2 linked regions of the Schizosaccharomyces pombe genome follow. The protein of the gene in region 2 purifies or fractionates together with the protein of the main gene of each other region. This does not show direct contact. Each region holds a gene or a part of one and is shown on either strand. Other genes may lie near its edges.

Region 1 (3,370 bases), on a different chromosome or scaffold from region 2:
AAGTATATCTTTAATTTATCTGAGCCGCGCTTTTTTTTATTTATTTAAAATTTCGTATCCTTGCATACAGGCTATATTTATTTACTTATTCAATTTTATTTTGTTTGCTCTTTTGGCATTTGACGGGGATATATATTTTAGAGAATTGAGTATTTTTACAAAAAAAAAAAAGACAAAATTAATGACAGAGCGATGTAAATAAGTAAAAGTACATTAGCATTTTTTCCTCAAATTCAAGATCCGTAGGCTATGATCTCTTCATGTTGCAAAATGTTTGTAGACAGGCTCCAAACTTTTAAAAAACTACTTATTCCAAAACATGCTTGCCTCAACGAAGTATCGCTACCGTTCTCTTTCGTTTTACTAACAAGTTCAATTTGTTTCTTGTTTTTGTATTAGTCGATTTTTAATATGCACAGGCTTGCATAAAGATAGTTAATTATAAATTTCATTTGTTTGATTTTAAGCTTAGCATTTCATTCAGCTCGACTTCAAGCTGACAATCCCCAATGCAAATATCCTTGCGTCTCGTTAGGCAGGTTACATTTCCAATAGTTTGAACGTAGCTTCCGCGTTATTATACTTTGCCAGTTTTAGTGCATTGTATAGCTACACAGTATTTTGGTTTTAAACTTAGCGAGATATCTCAAAACCCCTTGGCATGCTCTTAGCACGGTACTTAGCTGTAGATCCTTTTAAAATTTGCTAACAGATGTAAACTTGAAAACCAGATTTTTCGGCTTAATATATTCCATCTATCATTTAAATCTCTTTGATGATAACTTTCAAAAATTGAAGGAAATCCGATGTTGACGATGAAATCACTGTAGATACGAATGTTTACTCAACGAAATTACCATACAATTTGATGCCGATCATTTTAAAGACATTTTTAGCAAAATATAAGCAGTCAAACTAGTAGAAATTTTTACAAAAAAAAGCCATATACGAGGTTTGTTTAGTACAAATGACTATACGATCGCAATAATATAGTAATCAAATGAGCCACAGGAGGCAGCAGCTGTGTATAATCGGAAATTAAAATCCTAGTAAAGATACACCCGATCTATAGAAATGATATTCTTGTGTTCATTATTTTTCAAGTTTTGTAAACTATTATTAATTTTGCATACTAGCAAAGACCATTTACAACAAATAGTGCAACCTACTTTTGAAAACTTTTGTAATCAGAAGACGAATATGCTGGACTAAAATAAACATTAACTGCATCTTGTTCTACGATTGTTATATTGAGATGGTTTATTTATTAATTGTATGGATAAAGCTTTTTTCAATCAGTCTTGAATTTCAGAGTCAATACAAGTTAAAAATAAATCAATTTTGGAATTAACTTCCCTTGTATATTTCACTTCCAAGGTATTTATATTTGGATGAAATACAATAATAAAAAATAGCTCTATTACTTCAGAAAAATTCGCTGAATGTGTTCAATTTGATATGCTAGAGAAGGTACAATATTATAGATAAATAGGGCTATTTACTAATTTTGGTTGAAACGTTTGTAGGAAACCGTCTTCAGTACTTCGATATTATATACAAAACTTATTCAATAGATGTCTAACGAGCACACATAATACAAATAATATCTAAGAAACTTGTATTGTCATCATGTAACATAGAATTAAAAGTTTACACATTTAAACAAACTGAGTAATTTAATGTAGCTAAATAGATATAGTGCTAAACACTCATGAAACAGCAGATGAATAATCATCCTTCATTTTTTGAGTACGCATTTTGCGATTGAAAGATCCATGATCCATTATTTATTATATTAAATACTTGTGTTTTAGCAAAATTTATTACATTACTCCAAAAATTATCTTATGTTTGAGTATTGCTTAGCGAAGCTGCAATTTTCAACCCCCTTTATCACACCGCTTAAACATCTCATCTTAAAACGAAGTAGCGGCTTTGCTCTATTTTACTCATCACAATGGAAGATGAAATGCAAATAGACAAGAAGGAGGTGGAAATTGAACAAAAACCTCCTCGATTTGAAATTAAAAAGGTTCGTCATTATTTTTATGATCATGTTCTTCATGTGTATCAAATTTGCCATAAAGCAAAGTAAACTGTGAAAATTAATACCCAAAGATATATTTGCTATTTTAAAATAAGCATACACTTAAGTACTAGTTTACTCTCTTTGCTTTTTTTATGAGTTCTTCTGATTCATATTGCTTACCTTCAATTTAGTGGAATGCTGTAGCATTATGGCAATGGGACATTGTTGTAGATAACTGTGCTATCTGCAGAAATCATATTATGGACTTATGTATTGAGTGTCAAGCTAACACCGATTCTGCTGCTGCTCAAGAGTGCACAGTGGCATGGGGAACTTGTAATGTAAGTTTTAATTCGATTTCTTTCGTATTCTTAGCTCAGGACTGTTTTTAACAAATACAAAAGCATGCATTTCACTTTCACTGCATCTCAAGATGGTTAAACACTAGGAATGTTTGTCCTTTGGACAATCGTGAATGGGAGTTCCAACGTTATGGTAGGGTATATTAAGACGAGCCTACTTTACTAACTTTATCTCAGGTCATTAATAACATTTATTAAGTACTTACTTTTTTGTTGGTAAAAATATTTCAATGGAGCAGAGCGTTTTATTAATGAAATGACATGAATCAATTAAAATTTCCTAAAATCATGACTACTTGTGGCTAGTTTAAGTTTCCATGTGACTTTGAATTGTTATTTATATTTATTTACTCCAATTACTCAGATAGTGGACGAATATATCAATTTATTTTATTGCTTGTCAAATAAAATTTCCTACAGACAGTTTTTAACTACACATCATATAAATTAAGACATTATATCACTACTTTGTATACACTTGAAGAATTAGAACATTACTTAAATCATCAAAAGAAATGGCATACTTCTAAAGTGCTATTGTTAAAATTGAATAGGCATACAGACATTATGCTGCATATCGCATGACAGAATGCGAATCATTGCTTTCGAGAAGAATGTCAGTGGTGAGATACAAAAGCTCAGTAGTGCACGGATTTTCTATACTTGCCAATCAATTCACAAATTCAGTTAACTTTTAAATAAGAACAAACAGCTTTATGAAAATTACCATCTGATGTTTAAAACCTTCAGTTTATCAGACTTGGTGTTTTCGTTAATAGTGGGTAGGCATAAAAAGATTCGTGGTACTTTGACTCTTTATTCGCCTAATACTAATGTTTCTGTCGCCTTCGTCACTTCCCACTATAGAGAGACCTACATTCATCTGACTTTTTAAGTGATACTAAAAAGTCGGATACTTTTTATATAAAGACTGTAAAAAGCATCCCTATGTGATTGAATGTGTATATATCCATCTCTT
Region 2 (6,307 bases):
TTGAATTATTTTGAAGAAAATTATTTGTATGTAAGTTTGTGATCGATGGATAGTCATCATATGATGGAAAGATCGTTAACCTTTGAAAGAAACTATTCTCATTTATTTATAATAATATTTATAATAAGAGATATGAGCAGCTCGAACTCCCGAGTGCATGAGGAACAGCCTCCAACAGAAAATCGCAGATATGCGAGACCTACTGCACAAATGAATCGAGTAATTGAACAACAACCAAGGCGTCGCGATTACTTCCAAAACAATGACAACTCTGGTCGCAGAGGTTATAATAGGCATGAAAACAATGGTAATGCGCAGGATGTGGTACGTTCACACTATAACGCGCGTCCTGATTTGGGTTATAAAAAACGACAATTTTCTCCTATTATTCAACTAAAGAGGTTTAACAACTGGATCAAATCTGTTCTCATACAAAAATTCGCACCCCATGCTTCTGATTATCCTATTTTGGTACTAGACATGGGATGTGGAAAAGGTGGTGATTTAATTAAATGGGACAAAGCTGGCATTGATGGATATATTGGGATTGACATAGCTGAAGTTTCCGTAAATCAGGCCAAGAAGAGATACCGTGAAATGCATGCTTCTTTTGATGCACTATTCTACGCTGGCGACTGTTTTTCTAGCTCAATTAACGAATTACTTCCCCCAGACCAAAGAAAATTTGACGTTGTTTCTCTACAGTTTTGCATGCATTATGCATTTGAAAGCGAAGAAAAGGTTAGGGTCTTGTTGGGGAACGTTTCTAAATGCCTTCCTCGTGGTGGAGTAATGATAGGAACGATTCCCAATTCCGATGTAATTGTCAAACATATTAAAATGCTTAAACCAGGAGAAAAAGAATGGGGAAATGACATATACAAAGTCAGATTTCCTGAATCACCTCCACGCTCTTTTCGACCTCCGTATGGAATTCAATATTATTTTTATTTAGAGGATGCTGTTACCGATGTTCCTGAATATGTAGTTCCTTTTGAAGCCTTTCGTGCTGTTGCCGAAGGATACAATCTTGAATTAATATGGGTAAAACCTTTTTTGGACATCTTAAATGAAGAGAAAAACTCTGAAACGTATGGACCCCTAATGGATCGAATGAAAGTCGTTGATAATGAAGGACACCGTGGAATTGGTGGACAGGAAAAAGAAGCAGCAGGATTTTATTTAGCATTTGCCTTTGAGAAGAGGGGAATTTAGTCTTTTCTTTCCTTATCCCACTGATTCACTGTGCAGACCGCATTGTAGAAAGATCTTTCACGCTCGAAAGATCAGTACAGTGGTAGAAAAAAAGATGACTTTAAAAGATGTAGATTAATTTTTGATGGCAATGACTTTTATTTATTTATTCATTTTTATGCCTTTATTCTTTCTTTTTCTGTTTTCATATATTTTATACATAAGTAACATGCTCTCTTTCATTCCAGCTTAAGCGAATAAATAAAGTATGCTCCCAGGCATATTTCATCAAATCAGATTGCCCCAAAAATTGCCTCAAATATTAAGCGATAGCTTAAATCAATGCACCTGTCGGTATTCAACTACCAGCATCCACTGCTACTCTTCTTCCATTTTTTCTTCAGCAACAGTCAAGTTAAAAAACTGGAACGTTTTAATTGATTTGAGAGAAAATTTCTTATGGAGTAATCGATTGATTAAATGATAAATTCACATTGCGCCCTTTTTTAGTCTCGATTGATTAAATGAGTCATCTGCTTTTCGCGTATTACCTTTGCAACGACATTCGCTCATTCCAAAATCTACTGAAGCAAGATGATTCAAAGGTGAAAGAGCCTAGAAAGGGTTTTTCGGAAAAGAGCGGACAAAAACTCCGTATCAACCAAAAAGATCGATACGGACGCACCGTGCTGCACATCGCCGTTTCTGAGAATAAAAATTCCTTTGTTAGATCTCTTTTGCAGCATAAAGGCATTGATGTTTTTGTGCAAGATGAAGAATCTGGATATACGGCGTTGCATCGGGCAATCTACGTTGGCAACTTGGAAGCAGCGTCTTTGCTTTTATCAAAAGATCCCTCCTTCAGATCATTGCGTATTAAAGACAAAGAAGGTCTTTCTCCATTTCAATTTTTATCACGAGTCCTTTCAAGCACTATTCATCCGGTTCTTGACTTACCGATAATAGGAAATGAACTTTATGGCTTTGGTACTAACGTAAACAATACGCTCGGAATAGCAAATGGGAAAGAACCTTCATCGCCAGAAAGAGTGTTTTTACTGAAAAACCAAACAGAGTCTCCCACATCAGGTCAACTCTTTTCCCGAGACAAAATCCTTGATGTGCAGGCTTCCAAATTTCACAGCGTCGTACTAACGGATGAGCCGTCGCAAAATGTTTACGTATGTGGTATTGGTGCTGGAGGGAGAATAGGTTTTAACACGGACGTTCAATATAACTTTATTCCTATTCCTGGTATCATTCATAAAGTTATCCAGATTTCTGTTAGTCATACCCATTCACTTGCTCTTACAAAGTTCGGAAGTATTTATTCGTGGGGAAAGAATGGTTCTGGTGAACTGGGACTTTCTAATGACGAACTGAAAAAGGATGATCCAATTCAAATTACCCCTAGGCGTATCTCTGCATTCAAGGATTATCAGATAATTGGAATGGCGGCTGGAAAAAGTTATAGCGTTGCTTGGACTGACACTGATATTTACAGCTGGGGGTTAAATAATGGCCAATTAGGTATATCTGATCATATTTCAGTTGTTTCTACTCCAAGGAGAGTTGCTGGCTTATTATCGCCTGTCATACATGCCGTTTGTACTACTCGTGCTACGATATGCCTTTTACAAAACAACAGTATAATTGCCTTTTGCAATTATAATCAAGTGAAATTGCCATTCAACGTTGACTTTGGTAGTTCGTTAAAGGTAACTAAGCATCCTCTTTCCCTCACCAGATTTAACGTTAGAAAATTATTAGCTTCAGAAAACAAACTAGCCGTGCTTACAGAACTAGGCGAAGTCTATGAATTTGATATGAAGCTTTTACTTGATCGTGATTCTACCTCTTCCAAGAATTCCACACGAACTTCATTCAAATTTACTCCATTATGGATTTTTGAATCTTCAGACCTTGCAGCTTTAGATATTGCGTGGACCGCTGATAATTCTTTAATACTATGTACTAGAAATGGCACTTGTTGGAAACGGGAGTTAAGGTCAAAAAAGCGAGAAAAGTCATCTAGTAGCCCGTATTCTAGAGGACCATACAAATATAATAGAATTGAAAATTTACAAATGGTTGTTGGAGTCCGTGCGAGCGCTTCTGGATCATTTTTTGCAATTCGAAATGATTATCTTCCACCGCCAATCTACAAGCCTTCGAATATGTTAATTGATCTTTTGCGCTCACTACTTCCCTATGACCACCTTTTACATGTAAGACAACCACGTTTGATTCCTCCCGAAGATGAAGACGGAGTCCCTATTTTTGACGAAGACCGCGCTGCATCCAGCAATGAGATGCAGCTACTTTTTGAAGGATCTATACCGATTCTTACTAGTTATGAAAATTATAAGCAATCATTTTCTGATGTTACTATTTATTGTGGTACTTCTATGTTCCACTCACATAAGTTCATATTGTGTGCTCGATCTTCATTTTTGAGAAAATTATTGCTACAAAAAAAGAAATCGAGTGTCTCCAACATCATTTACATTGAAGAAATCACTCAATCTCATTCAACAATTAGAGTTGAAGATATTCCTCCTTTAGCGGTTGCTATTCTTTTGCATTATTTGTACACGGATACATTGCTTTCTCCATGGCATCTTGATTCACGCTTTTCACCTTTAAAAGAAAACCTTTCAAAACTTGCAAACTTACTGGAGTTACCTCATTTAGCGGAGGTTTTACCGTTTAGTGTTTCCCGCCAACCTTTGCTTTCTTTAACGAATGACATTCTGCAACTATATAATAATTTTTATGTCTTATGCGAAGAAACAATGGATACAGTAATAAAGCTTAAAGATGGAGAGCTCAAGGCACATGGTCTTTTTTTAAGTCTCCGCAGTGAATACTTTAGTTCTTATTTCCAATTTGTTTCTATGGAAAGCAATAGTTTTGACATCCCAATAACCGTCAATTTGTCTCATTTGACTGTTGAGCATATGTCAATTGTTCTTCGTCATGTATACAGTGACTTAAAAGTTGAGCTTTTTGACGATTTGAAAGAATCCGATTTTCATAATTGGTTGGAAACTATGTTCGAAATTTTGTCTATTGCAGACGAGCTTCTTTTTCTTGAACTAAAAAGCATAGCCCAGCAATCCTTACTTCGCTTTTTAAATTTGAAAACTCTACCTACTCTAATGGATCTTTCACTTAGTTATCACGCTGAGGAGCTTTATTCACGATGTATTGATTATGCTTGTCACAATATTGAATTCTTTTTGGAAGCAAATCGTATAAGTGAATGGGATGGTTTCCATTTAAAAAAAGTCGCTCAACGTTTAACTGAATTGCTTTCTGATCAACGAGTACATCTTCCTTCTAGCAAGATTGCTAATAGATTATTGATAAGAGATCCAGTGTTGATGGAAAAAAGAAATTATGAGCTTAAAGTTCTCAGAGAATACTTGTTTTCCCAGGAAAGTTCTCAATTATGGGACGATTCCCCTTATCGGTCTATTTTTGAAGATCGTCGATGCAGCACTTCAGCAGTAATTTTAGAATCTGGAATTGTTCCTTCAAGTAATCAAAGTGATTCATTAAATAAGGAAGATGCTGAGGAGAAGTCTCCTAAACCAAATGTTGTTAACGTTACGAGCATTACAAAGACAGCAGGAGCTTCTGTTGAAATTCAAAACAATATAGAGTCTGCTTCGTCAGGAGGGGATAAAACACAATTAAATGGTCCTGGGGCTGATCAACCTGTTACTGCAACAATTACTTTTGACAAAACGAGTCCATGGAGGAATAGGGAAAATCTTTCTCATAATAACAACACTACTAGAGCTAGTCTTAGAGAATTGCTGGAGCAAGAGAAAGCTGATGCTTCAACTACTACGGTTTTGTCTGATTCTAGATTTATGAAAGCTCCAACTAAAAAATCCCAACGTGAGAAAAAAAAGGAGCTTTCAAAGCAAGTGCCTATTTCCAAAACAAATGTTGGCCACATCGATATCGAGTTGGGTAAATCGAATCACTCAAACCCTTGGTCTGTAGCAACACATCAGAGGGGCAGTTTTTCGTCATCAACTGGAGTGAAAAAGTCATTTAATGGTATTCTTAGAGAGGCAGCTCGAGAGGAAGGTTCATCTCAAGTAATTTATCAAGAATCGAAGAAGCGCATTTCCAATGGTTCTCCAACTAGTTGGAACCTACTTACTAAACCATCTCCCCGATCTGCTTCTTTACCAAAAAATAGCCAACCTTTATCGATTTCGGAGATTATGACTGAGCAGAAAGAAGAAATTGAGAGTCAAAAGAGGAGATCATCTTTTAGAAAAACAATTGAGGAGATACAACAGGAAGAGGAGTTTCAAAAGTGGTGGGAGGAGGAGAGTTTGAGAGTACAGAAAGAACTTGGAATCCTTAAAACTGAAAGAGATACCTCTACGAATAGAAAACAGGGACAAGCTTCTAAACAACCTCAACGAAGGCACAGAAAGGAAAAAGATTCCAAAGTGTCAGAGTCCACTGCGGAGTTTAAATCTCTTCCTATTGATATACCAAGGACTACTCACAAGAAAGGAAAAGCACGTGCAGTCAAATGACCATAACAACGACTATATACAAAAAATTCAGGACATTAATTTATTCAACTTATGAAGAGATACTTTAATAGATATGTATAAGAAAAAATATTTGCTACATGGTGAATTATTTATTAAGCTTTTGTTTCACGATACCAATCACACATTTTACATACGCTAAAAATTCAATATTTGAAAATAATAAAATTGAATAGGAAACTTTGGTCATAAAGAAATTCAAAGCACGTACGGAATGAATACAAGAATTCGATATACACGGTAATTTATAGTGTATCAAGGACAGATCCAATTGTAGTGGAAAAATTATAGGAGAAATGATGCTGCTTCGTAAATTCACTAGAGAAACCGTGACAAGCAATTACAAAACGAGCAAAGATAAGGTTTGTTTCCATTCACCTAAATCATCGCAAAATAGCCAGAGGTCAAAACGGAAAGGGCAAGAACAGCATAACCGGTACGATAGACACCCTTTAGACTTAACTCCTTGGTGGTATCCCAGATCAAGTGACGAATACCGTTAAAAATGTGGAAAGTCAAAGGATAAG

Evidence for each region. Proteins that work in one complex are often made in the same cells at the same time.
Region 1: the proteins of btb1 (region 2) and rbx1 purify together in Schizosaccharomyces pombe (affinity purification with western blotting, with the first as the bait; one study listed by BioGRID). This does not show direct contact.

What each region holds. Positions count from the first base shown.
Region 1 is NC_003424.3:1,573,453-1,576,822, forward strand, and holds rbx1 (SCF complex, Cul4-RING and CLRC ubiquitin ligase ligase E3 subunit Rbx1), read left to right. Parts: upstream 1-1,892; 5' UTR 1,893-1,957; coding exon 1,958-2,032; exon of another isoform or gene 2,033-2,220; coding exon 2,221-2,370; exon of another isoform or gene 2,371-2,433; coding exon 2,434-2,524; exon of another isoform or gene 2,525-2,548; intron 2,549-2,568; coding exon 2,569-2,576; 3' UTR 2,577-2,855; downstream 2,856-3,370. UniProt on the Schizosaccharomyces pombe protein: Component of E3 ubiquitin ligase SCF complexes, which mediate the ubiquitination and subsequent proteasomal degradation of target proteins.
Region 2 is NC_003421.2:129,799-136,105, forward strand, and holds btb1 (BTB/POZ family ubiquitin-type ligase substrate adaptor Btb1), read left to right. Parts: upstream 1-1,596; 5' UTR 1,597-1,718; coding exon 1,719-5,762; downstream 5,763-6,307. Other genes in the region: mRNA 5'-cap (guanine-N7-)-methyltransferase Pcm1, read left to right, coding at 133-1,215; sdh3 (succinate dehydrogenase cytochrome B subunit), read right to left, coding at 6,159-6,307. UniProt on the Schizosaccharomyces pombe protein: Probable substrate-specific adapter of an E3 ubiquitin-protein ligase complex which mediates the ubiquitination and subsequent proteasomal degradation of target proteins.